Linked DNA regions of Oryza sativa Japonica Group. The protein of the gene in region 1 interacts with the protein of each later gene in a pairwise test. Links are inferred from orthologs where the notes say so. Each region holds a gene or a part of one and is shown in the gene's direction. Other genes may lie near its edges. The genes, in order: protein TIFY 10b, transcription factor MTB1 and NINJA1.

Region 1 (3,751 bases):
ACATTTGTTGGCACTTGGCAGCAAAACCCGACCTGAAAAATTAAATTAAAGCCAACCCAAAGCTGCTGCTACTACTAAACCACTATCAAGAAATTCAAGACGGATCATGGATTCCCCCCCAGCCAGGTGTAACCGGGTCGGGTCAAACCCAAAACCAAAACCCGACCCGACCCGGATCCGACACGTCTCGCGCTCACCGCCTCGTGCTGCATGTACCGACCCGATCGATCGCGCACATGGGGGGCGCGGGCCCCACCCGCAATTAAGGAAAAGGGCGAAAAATCGCTATAAAATAAATCCGGAGAATATTTAAAAGAGGAGGGGGAGGGGAGCAGTCGCGGTGGGGCCCACCACCCCCTCGCTCCGCACACGAACCACGTGCGGAATCCGCGCATTTAGTACTCGCATCGTCCCCCCCAGCCCGCGAAATGATACCGAATTGAATAAAATAATATTTAAAAGAAGAAATCTGTTACTCCGTTCCAAAATACAGTTACTTGTAATAACAAAATATTCTTCTATAGTAAACCTATTTATCCATCAATATCCTTCTAACCCATCACAAAGTTCACAACCCTCGTCCATTTATTTCATTCATCTTATTTTTTATCTCAACAAATCATAATATTTCTCCAATAAATTTTACTTACTTTCTTAATACCTACTACTATGTCTAAAAAAAGATAAACTTTAGCTACGAATCTAGACACGCATATATTCGTAGCTTACATACGTGTCTAAATTCGTAGCTAGAATTGAATTTTTTTTAAGACGCTAGGGTACCATCTATCTATTTTATAATTATTTACTCCATCTGTCTCAGAATATAACAACCAATGATTGATGGTGTTCATCATCTATCTATTTTATAATTATTTACTCCATCTGTCTCAGAATATAACAACCAATGATTGATGGTGTTCATCATTGGTTGCTATATTATGAGACAGGGGGAGTATATTTCTAGAACAGATGTAACTCCCTTCGTTCTAAAACGTAGTACTCTTATTATGATATAATAACAAAGTTGGATAGAGATGAATCCAGTGGTAATAATTGAGATAAGGTAAAAGGTAATTTATAAGTAGTATTTTGGAACGAAGAGAGCAACTATTTTCTCCATTCCAAATTAAATTATGGGATAAACATATCGTAATAATACTATAAATTTAGACATATTTGTATTACTACAATATGTCACATTGTGTTAGATTAACTTATTCCAGTACGGAGTACTCCCTCCGTCCCAAAAAAAAAAGACACCCTGGCTTCCATGCCCAACGTTTGACCGTCCGTCTTATTTAAAAAAATTATGAAAAAAATTAAAAAGACAAGTCACACATAAAATATTAATAATATTTTTTTATTTAAAAGAATTATAAAAAAATTTCATACAAGACGGACAGTTAAAGTTGGACACGAAAATATATAGGGTTTGTTTTTTTTGGAGGGAGGAAGTAGGTAATTAGGAGAAGAAAAAAATGGGAAGAAAGAAAATCCGCGAGGTTAAATTGAATCGAATTGAGTGGTGACCAGAAACCGCAGCGGCTGCGTCGTCTCCGTCTCCTCTCCTTGCTTATAAACGCTCGCGCACGAGCCTCTCTCTCTCTAGCTCTCGCTCTCGCAGCTCAACCACTAGCAGCAGCGGCAGGAAGGCGAGAGGAGGAATCGGAGGTAGCTGGACGGCGGCGAGGCGACGACGAGCCGGGGTGGTGCAGCAAGAACGGCGCGGCGAGCGGCGGGGAGGAGAGATTGGATCGACGCCGGGTAGTTAGGAAGGGAGCTTGGAGAGATGGCGGCTTCCGCGAGGCCCGTCGGCGTCGGCGGGGAGAGGGCGACGAGCTTCGCCATGGCGTGCAGCCTGCTCAGCCGCTACGTCCGCCAGAACGGCGCCGCCGCCGCCGAGCTCGGCCTCGGCATCAGAGGTGAGGAGGAGAAGGGAAAAAAAAAAGAACTCATCCCTTTTTTTGTGGGTGTGCTTCGGCTTGGTTGGATCTTCATCTTCAGCTTCGGTTTCGTGTTGAGATCTGATCACAAGGTTTGGGGTTTTGGTTCGGTTCCAGGTGAGGGTGAGGCTCCGAGGGCGGCGCCGGCGACGATGAGCTTGCTGCCCGGGGAGGCGGAGAGGAAGAAGGAGACCATGGAGCTCTTCCCGCAGAGCGCCGGCTTTGGCCAGCAGGATGCCATCACCGCCGATTCTGCTGCTGATGCTAGGTATGGGGCCATGCCACTTGGTTCTCTGCTTCATTTTTGTGCAGTTCCTGCTCCTTAGGTGTATGTGTGTGTGTGTCCTAGTTCTTGGAATCACGCAGAGAAATGACAAATTTTGCAGTCTACAAAACTTAGCTGTAAGTGCCTCAATAGGTTGAAGCCACTGTTTTTGGTATCAAATCTAGTTGAGGGGAGAGAGGGTTATGAGTAAACATTTTGTTGTTTTTTGCTTTGGGTTCAGATACTAATTGGAATTAGGCAAGCAGAGTTACTAGGTCATTCAGACTTCAGGGAGTTGTTAATGGATCTATAAAAACTTTACCTATCTTTGTTAATAGAAAATTTTAACCCCAAACTTAGGGTTTTTTTTTTGTTTAAACTGGGGCACTGAAAACGTAGTTTCAAAAAGAACCCTTTTTATGCTTGCCGGTGAAAATAGAGTTAGTCAGATGGTGCAGAATTGGAGGGGTGATATACTGGTATCCCAGGTGTTCATAGTGTTCTCTGTGCAAATGAATTTCAGGGAACAAGAGCCTGAGAAGCGTCAGCTGACCATCTTCTATGGTGGGAAGGTGCTCGTGTTCAACGACTTCCCAGCCGACAAGGCAAAGGGCTTGATGCAGCTGGCTAGCAAGGGCAGCCCGGTGGCTCCTCAGAATGCCGCGGCACCTGCACCAGCAGCTGTTACAGACAACACCAAGGCCCCTATGGCCGTGCCGGCCCCGGTCAGTAGCTTGCCTACAGCTCAGGCCGATGCTCAGAAGCCTGCTCGCGCGAATGCTTCTGGTAATTACTCTGCCCTTTCTTGATGTTCATGTCTGTCGGGGTATTGAACGCATAACCAGTTGAATTTTGTTGTAGCAGTTATCAAGTGACCTCTTTTTTTCTGTGTAGATATGCCTATTGCTAGGAAGGCATCACTCCACAGGTTCCTTGAGAAGAGAAAGGATCGGTAAGTTGTTTTGCTGTGATGATTTGCATGATGTTTAAGTTCAGTATTTTGATCACTGCAGTTCATGGATCTAATATGCGCCTTTTGTTGTCACAGTCTTAATGCAAAGACGCCATACCAGGCTTCTCCTTCAGATGCAACCCCAGTCAAGAAGGAGCCTGAGAGCCAGCCATGGCTCGGACTAGGGCCGAACGCCGTCGTGAAGCCCATAGAACGCGGCCAATGAGGTTGCATGGAAACTTCACCAAAGCTCTTCAAAAATATATGAAATGCGCTTGCCGTTAGAGTACCAAATCATATATGTTCTCTCATACCCCATGTTTTAGTGTTTTTTCTTTAGTTCGTGCTTCTATGTTGTTCACTTGTCACATAGTTCTGAATGTAAAGGAAAAAGGTAGTAGCATTGACGACCAGTGCCGAGAGCCTGAGAGAAGTTTTGGCATGTTAACACATGGTGACTCTGAAAATGGCCATGCTAAGGTAAAAAGTTATTGCAAAGGAAACATATATGTATCTTCTGAAATTCTGATCATCTGGCTTTGTCCTTGGCTCTAGCCTTGCTCTATGCAAAGCAAAGTGATTGTAATG
Region 2 (3,751 bases), on another chromosome or scaffold:
AACTGAAGAAGGTAGACATGGATACGAAAACCCCTGGTTTTGAAATTTCATAAACTAAATTTATTTAAAACATTGTCATTTACCCACCAGTAAATTTTACAATTTCTAGCTCCTTCAATATTAACATAAGATTGAAGAATCCATCTAATTAGGATACAAATATTAATAAACCAAAGTCATTCTAGTAAAAAAAACTACATTATAAATCACTTATCTCCTCTTGTGGCTTAACCTGATTAACAAATAGACCAATCCCTCCTCAACCTCCGTCTCCTCGAATGATCAAAGAGCACGTGGCCACTATATGAGCAAACCAATTGTCCTGAGCTGACAAGAGTCCAAGGCTTGAATTGAGCTAGTTTCTCCACCCCCACGAGCCACGGATCCATCGGCTCAGGTTCCAGTCCCACCGGGGGTAGAGAAAGCAAGGCACCCTCTTCGTCCTCCTCTCACACCTTCCCTCTTCACACATCACGCGTTGTCTCCTCCTCCCCTTCCCCTTCCTCAAAATCTCCTCAACACGCCGCCTTAGCCTCAGCCCCAGCTCCTCAGCCCTGCGCATGCTTCGATCTTGGTGAATTCAGGGAGCTCGTGAGGTTACAATTAAGGGGAATAAACACTAGTTTGGCTTGCTCATTCAACACTTTGCAGCAGGGTCCAATTGCATCTAAATTATCTGCAGTGGTCAATTCTACTCATTAATTCATTTATGTCCCTGCCTGAATGAATATCACAAATACCATATCCATCGGTGAAAGAAAACATGCGGACCCAAACAAATATAAACAATGGCTTGAAGCGAGCCGGCTCTCCCATACGCCACAAAGCGGCTCGATATCCTATATCTGCAACATCGCTACTTTTAGGAATGTTCGTAAATATCTTATACATGCTAGTGCCAATGGGAGTATGATGGTGTGTTGGAATAGGGGAACCAGCCCCATGATTTTGAAATTCAACAGACTAAATTTGTTGAAACTCATGAGATATAAATGTTACCATTTCTAGCTCCTCAATTATTAACAAGCGAATAAAGAATCCATTAATAATAATAATAATAACCATATTATAAATCAATTATCCCCTATTTTAACTTAACCCGATTAACAAATCAACCCATATGCTTCCCACTCTCCATCGACTCGACTTGAATGCTCGTAGAGCACGCAACCACACTGTGTATGAACAAACCACCAGCGCGCAAAGCCGAGAAGAGCCCATGGGTCGGCGATCGAGCCGGCTCCCCCGCCCCTAACGAGCCGCGGACCGGCTCGGCTCGGCTCGGCTCGGGATCCAATCCCACCGGTGTAGAAAAGGCAAAGGCACCCTCGTTCTCCTTTCACACCTCTCCCCCCCTCTTCTTCTCTCTCTCCACATCACAAGTCGCCTTCCTCCTCCGCCCCCGAAATCCCCTCGCGAACCAGAGAAACCTGAGGCACCACCATCACCACCACCGCCTCCGCCTCCGCCTCCGCCTCCTGCGCGCGCGGCGAATTCGGGGGACCCTCGCGCTCGCGTGGGGTGTGGGTGGGGGGAGATCCGGGCGTCGCCGTCGCCGGGGGGGGGGGAGGGTGCTCGGATTCAGCCAGCGGCGGGTGGGGGGGCCCGCCTCTTTCTTCTTGGGGGGGCGCGGAGGAGACCCCGCCCGTCCTGGATTCCGTGGCCGCGGCGCCGATTCGGGCGCGGGAGCCCCAGCACGGTGAGATTTTCCCCCGCTGCCTTGCTGCACTGTGAGAATTGCCGTATCTATACTGTACTAGTTTGTTGTTGTTGTTGTTGTTGATGATGTGGCTGCTCGCTGTTGCGGAAACAGTGGAATGGATGGGGGTTTGGGATGGTTGGGGTTTGACGAGCTGGGCGGGTTGAGGCGGGAGGAGGGTTTGCTTAGGGTGGAATCTGATTGGCCGCGATCGGCACGGGTGTTTTGGCTGTATCCTATAGCGTGAAAAAGATAGGAAAATTACTGGTTGTATCACTTTTTGCTGGGTCAGGTTTGGATAGAATTCAATCGTGTTTTCCCTCCATGTCTTTTATCCGTTGAAATGGTGCCATATGAAATGTCAGGATTAGTTATAAATTCTGGTTGCACACTTTGTGGACGATTTCTGTTATTTGAGTGGGTTATTTAGCGATTATGTGTCCGCGAATATAATCTGTACTGACGTAAGAGCAGTGAATTTTTTTTATCACTCATCACAGTGTGTTTTTAGCTGGATGATAACTGAGAGTTTTGTTCCTGTTATTCTGAGTTCAGCACCCGATTATTCATAAGTCCAAATGATATTTTGTTGCTTGTGTATTTGTCTAAAACTGTGCTTGTGGCGTCCAGCCAGTCAATTCTTGTGAGTATTACGCATTTTTAGTGCTATATTTGGCCTGATATATATACTATCTTGAGTAGGTATTATGGTGATGAAGATGGAGGCTGATGAGGATGGTGCCAATGGCGGAACTGGTGGGACATGGACTGACGAGGACCGAGCGCTCACCGCCAGTGTGCTTGGAACGGATGCTTTTGCTTACTTGACAAAAGGAGGTGGTGCCATATCCGAGGGCCTTGTTGCTGCATCTTTGCCAGTGGACTTGCAAAATAGACTCCAGGAGCTTGTCGAATCAGATCGTCCTGGTGCTGGTTGGAACTATGCCATATTCTGGCAGCTGTCGCGCACAAAGTCCGGTGACCTTGTCCTTGGATGGGGGGATGGCTCTTGCCGTGAGCCTCATGATGGTGAGATGGGACCTGCTGCTTCTGCAGGTAGTGACGAGGCCAAACAGAGGATGCGCAAGCGTGTGCTGCAGCGATTGCACTCAGCATTCGGAGGTGTTGACGAGGAGGATTATGCCCCAGGCATTGATCAGGTGACAGACACAGAGATGTTTTTTCTAGCATCTATGTACTTTGCATTTCCACGCCGTGCTGGTGGCCCTGGTCAAGTATTTGCAGCAGGCGTGCCCCTGTGGATTCCCAACACTGAACGTAACGTATTTCCTGCCAATTACTGTTACCGGGGATACCTTGCAAATGCTGCAGGATTTAGAACTATTGTGCTAGTTCCATTTGAGACCGGTGTACTTGAACTGGGTTCGATGCAACAGGTAGCGGAGAGTTCTGACACTCTCCAGACCATAAGATCTGTGTTTGCTGGGGCAATTGGCAATAAAGCTGGAGTTCAGAGACACGAGGGGAGTGGCCCTACAGATAAGTCACCAGGTTTGGCAAAGATTTTTGGGAAGGACCTTAACCTTGGCCGGCCTTCAGCAGGCCCAGGAACTGGCGTGTCAGAGGCAGATGAAAGGTCGTGGGAACAAAGGACTGGTGGTGGGAGCTCATTGCTCCCCAATGTCCAAAGAGGTTTGCAGAATTTCACTTGGAGTCAGGCTCGGGGCCTGAATTCTCATCAGCAGAAGTTTGGCAACGGTATATTGATTGTGAGCAATGAAGCCACACCGCGCAACAATGGAGGAGTTGACAGCTCTACTGCAACACAGTTTCAGCTTCAGAAAGCACCACCACTTCAGAAACTACCACAGCTCCAGAAATCACATCAGCTAGTAAAGCCACAGCAACTAGTGAGTCAGCAACAGTTGCAGCCTCAAGCTCCCAGGCAAATAGATTTCAGTGCTGGGACCAGTTCCAAACCTGGTGTTTTGACTAAAAAACCAGCTGGTATTGATGGGGATGGTGCAGAGGTGGATGGCTTGTGTAAAGACGAAGGTCCGCCACCTGCATTAGAAGACCGGCGGCCTAGAA
Region 3 (3,751 bases), on another chromosome or scaffold:
CAGGCGACACCGCGTGCACGCCCTCCGCCTCCCCAATCCGTCCCGTCTCCTCGCCCGCCGCCCTCGACTCCCGTCTCCTCGCCTGCCGCTGGCGCCGATCTCCATCCTGCTAGCAGAGGTGGCGCCGGCGTCCTCCTCCTGCTCCCGCCGCATTCGCTCACCGGTGAGCATCCTAATCCATCCCATCCGGCCTCGGCCTCGGCCTCGAATTTCGTCTCCTCACCCGCCGCTTGCGCCGATCCCCATCCTGCGAGCAGAGGTGGCGCCCGGCGTCCTCCTTCTAGCTTCCACCGCATCGTCGCTCGCCGGTGAGCATCCCTCCCTACCCACACCTCATCAGGTATTCTGCTTTATCCCTCAAAAAGTTTGGGGGTTCAACCGAAACAGGGTTAGATCTGCCTCTGCCCAGCTCCACCTACTTTCAAGTTGTTAATTTTGATTTCCGTTTTTAGCATATGTAATTTGGTTACTGAATCTCATCCAAACACCCTTATAGAACGAAAAATGTAAGCTCACATAATTTTTACTCATCCAAACTCACGTAAATTTCTTTAAGAAGAATCTAGACCACAAACTACCCATAGTCACACAAAATATCTTTTTATCAACTTATATTCTTATAAGTAATTTTTATTCCACAAAATTTCTAAAGGACATACGGTGACACTTGGCATTAATCTAATTTAACTTTTTTTTCTTTGTCAGGTTATAAATTTTCTAAGACATTTGTGCCACTTGGCATGAATCTAATTTAACATTCTTTCTTTATCAGGTTATAAATTGAAACCATTGAACGTACTCCCAACTTCCCAATTAGTTTTGCTAGTAAATATAAACAAACATTAGTTTTGTGCACACAATTCACGTGCTCCCAACTTCCCAAGTCCACATCACCCTTCACCCATTCCTCCACTTGAGCCAAAACACCACGTTATCCTAAAACCCCAACTGACAGATAAGCCCCACCCGACAGTCCATCCACGGGCCCACTCCATCCGCGCGGGCCCACTGTCCAGTGACACAGTGAACACAATCGTCATATTTGCACCGTTTGGGTAGGGTGGGGATGGGGTGTGTGCTAGCAATCCCGGTGGATCGAGTGGTAGGCGAAATTACAAAATTACCCTCGCTGTTTTGATGGCTCTGTCTCGTGGTCGTGCGTGAGTTATGCTTCTTGAGTTTGCCCTTGCCTACCCACCCGCCTCCGCCGATCCCCATTCCAACCCGCGACTGCGAGCGAGGCGAGTAGGGCGGCTTCGTCGTTCGTCCTGCTGCTTCCGCCGCATCCATCCTGGTGAGCACATCCTCTTCCGCCGCCGTCGCCTGCGGCCGATCCCCATCCATCACGCGCGAGCTCGTCCTGGTCCTGCTGCCGTCGCCTGCAGCCGATCCCCATCCATCACGCGCGAGCTCGTCCTGGTCCTGCTGCTTCCGCAGCATCCGTTACGCGCATCCTCTTTCCCATCTCTCCCTGTGTCTACCTACGAACTTATTTTTCTCGAATTTGTGCGTTAACCCTAGCTTCTGTTGTAGAAATCTGCCTTAAACCTTAATACTAGTAACAGTTTGATGGGAGCGTTAACCCTAGCTTCTGTTGTAGAAATCTGCCTTAAACCTTAATACTAGTAACAGTTTGATGGCTCCCAAAAAGGTTTCCCATGCTAGATCCGCCACTGTAGTATTACGACTATAAGTTTTTTTTGTTTTCACAGCAACTTAAAGAAATAAGCACTGCGCAACACAGTAGAATAGCCATAAAACAAGCCTTAGTGCCATGGTTTGGAGCATTTTGCTGCTGGCGTGAGAAGATGTTTCCATTCTGTTGGTTCAGCATTTTAGCTGGCGTTTAGCTAGATGTGCAACCTAAGGACGTCTGGTTTAGCAAGTTTAATGTCCAAGTTATTATTCTATAGTTAGAAATAAAGGTCTGTTGATTAAATTACAGTAGTTTAGCAAGTTTAATCACACCTTAATACTAGTAACAGTTTGATGGCTCCCAAAAAGGTTTCCCATGCTAGATCCGCCACTGTAGTATTACGACTATAAGTTTTTTTTTGTTTTCACAGCAACTTAAAGAAATAAGCACTGCGCAACACAGTAGAATAGCCATAAAACGAGCCTTAGTGCCATGGTTTGGAGCATTTTGCTGCTGGCGTGAGAAGATGTTTCCATTCTGTTGGTTCAGCATTTTAGCTGGCGTTTGGCTAGATGTGCAACCTAAGGATGTCTGGTTTAGCAAATTTAATGTCCAAGTTATTATTCTATAGTTAGAAATAAAGGTCTGTTGATTAAATTATAGTAGTTTAGCAAGTTTAATCACCAATTAGGGTTAGATTCAATCGACTGGTTTGGGGCAAAGTGTTTACTTTATTGTAGATCTTGTTGCTTAAATTACATCGGCCGGAGAGGTTCCGACTTAACATGCTGTAGCATCGATGTAGTGTATTCCAAGCCTCTCTCTCTCTCTAATTAACCCATCCACATTATCTAAAAAAAATTAACCCATCCAACTTTTTGGAGATTTCTTTAAAAAAAATTAACCCATCCAACTTTTTGGAGATTTCTTTGGTGGGTGGTCAGGCGGTAATAACAGTTTGTTTCCAAAAGTTTTGGAGATTCAGCGGATACACATGAAACATGTTTGCCATGCTTAGTCTCTTACCAAAGGCTTTTTTTTTCTTGCAGATATGACTTGTTGAGTGGAAAGAATCAATATAGTACAATCTATTTTCTTCTCAATGTGTAGAAGAAACAGTCTGTAACCATACATACTTATTAATACGACTAGTGAAATCTAGACATGGACGATGAGAATGGCCTTGAGCTTAGCTTGGGTCTCTCTTTGGGTGGGACATCAGGAAAGTCTAAGGCTAGAGATGCTCCTCTAGAACCTAAAGCAGAGCCTCAAGTGGAAGAGAGCAGTAGCAAAGGTGTTTCACAAACTCCTGAGGCTCCTTTTGTGCATTACTATCAAACAAATGCAGAGAACCAAGAACACAGTAGCAAGCAGAGACACAGCCCTGCTGCACCACCGTTTGGGAACTTTTGGGGACAGCCAGGGAGTTCTTCTGTTCCTGTGGCAGATGGATCCAATGAACAGAAGCCAGTCTCTAGTAAACGGAAATTACTTTCTGAGGAGATAAGTTTTCAGAAGAAACCTAATACAGCTGCTGAGCAACCTGATGCATTTAGTAAGAGCTCTGACGGTGGTGTAAAAAACGCTCCTATTTCAATTAGCACGGATGATGGTTCAACAGGTGAAAACGAGGATGTTGCAGAATCAGAAGCAGAAGGCTCAAACTCTTGGTTGGTTGCACAGCGTGAAGACAGTGCTAAGGGATCTGTTGTCAATAGAGGATCTGACAGAAAACGATCCAGTGATGATGCTGCAGTTGGTTTTCAAGGAAAGAGGCAGCCAAGTTTCTCAGGAAGTGAATCCAGCTCTGGAAAATTGCCACAAGGAAATCCTTTGTCATTGCAAGCATCAAATGTTGTTGCTGTGCCATATCAAGTCCCGTCTCAGGTTTCAGCTCCTCCCAGTATTACCAATGCATCAAATTTCACTCCAGTATGTACAGTGCAGTTGAGGCCACCTACAAACAATGGACTAGCTGTTACAATGGGCAGTACCTCTCAGGTAGCTTTTGGTTATCCAGCTGTCCAGCTACCAACACTTGAAACAAGCTCTTCATGGGCTTTTGGTGCTCCACCTCAGGCTATGTCCTCTTTTACTGCAAAAGACAAAGTTGAA

Evidence for each region.
Region 2: the proteins of protein TIFY 10b (region 1) and transcription factor MTB1 interact in binary tests that used the Arabidopsis thaliana proteins (3 or more experiments, as listed by UniProt). The link is inferred for Oryza sativa Japonica Group from reciprocal best matches to the Arabidopsis thaliana genes JAZ1 and AT1G01260.
Region 3: the proteins of protein TIFY 10b (region 1) and NINJA1 interact in binary tests that used the Arabidopsis thaliana proteins (3 or more experiments, as listed by UniProt). The link is inferred for Oryza sativa Japonica Group from reciprocal best matches to the Arabidopsis thaliana genes JAZ1 and NINJA.

The regions. Positions count from the first base shown.
Region 1 is NC_089041.1:25,571,550-25,575,300, forward strand, and holds the start of protein TIFY 10b, read left to right. Parts: upstream 1-1,534; 5' UTR 1,535-1,792; coding exon 1,793-1,925; intron 1,926-2,063; coding exon 2,064-2,214; intron 2,215-2,734; coding exon 2,735-2,997; intron 2,998-3,105; coding exon 3,106-3,163; intron 3,164-3,259; coding exon 3,260-3,389; 3' UTR 3,390-3,751.
Region 2 is NC_089035.1:7,507,083-7,510,833, reverse strand, and holds the start of transcription factor MTB1, read left to right. Parts: upstream 1-1,373; 5' UTR 1,374-1,699; intron 1,700-2,401; 5' UTR 2,402-2,406; coding exon 2,407-3,751.
Region 3 is NC_089039.1:27,978,025-27,981,775, forward strand, and holds the start of NINJA1 (protein NINJA homolog 1), read left to right. Parts: upstream 1-1,167; 5' UTR 1,168-1,294; exon of another isoform or gene 1,295-1,442; intron 1,443-2,685; 5' UTR 2,686-2,800; coding exon 2,801-3,751. UniProt on the Arabidopsis thaliana protein: Acts as a transcriptional repressor. Negative regulator of jasmonate responses. Connects the JAZ proteins and the non-JAZ protein TIFY8 with the TOPLESS corepressors.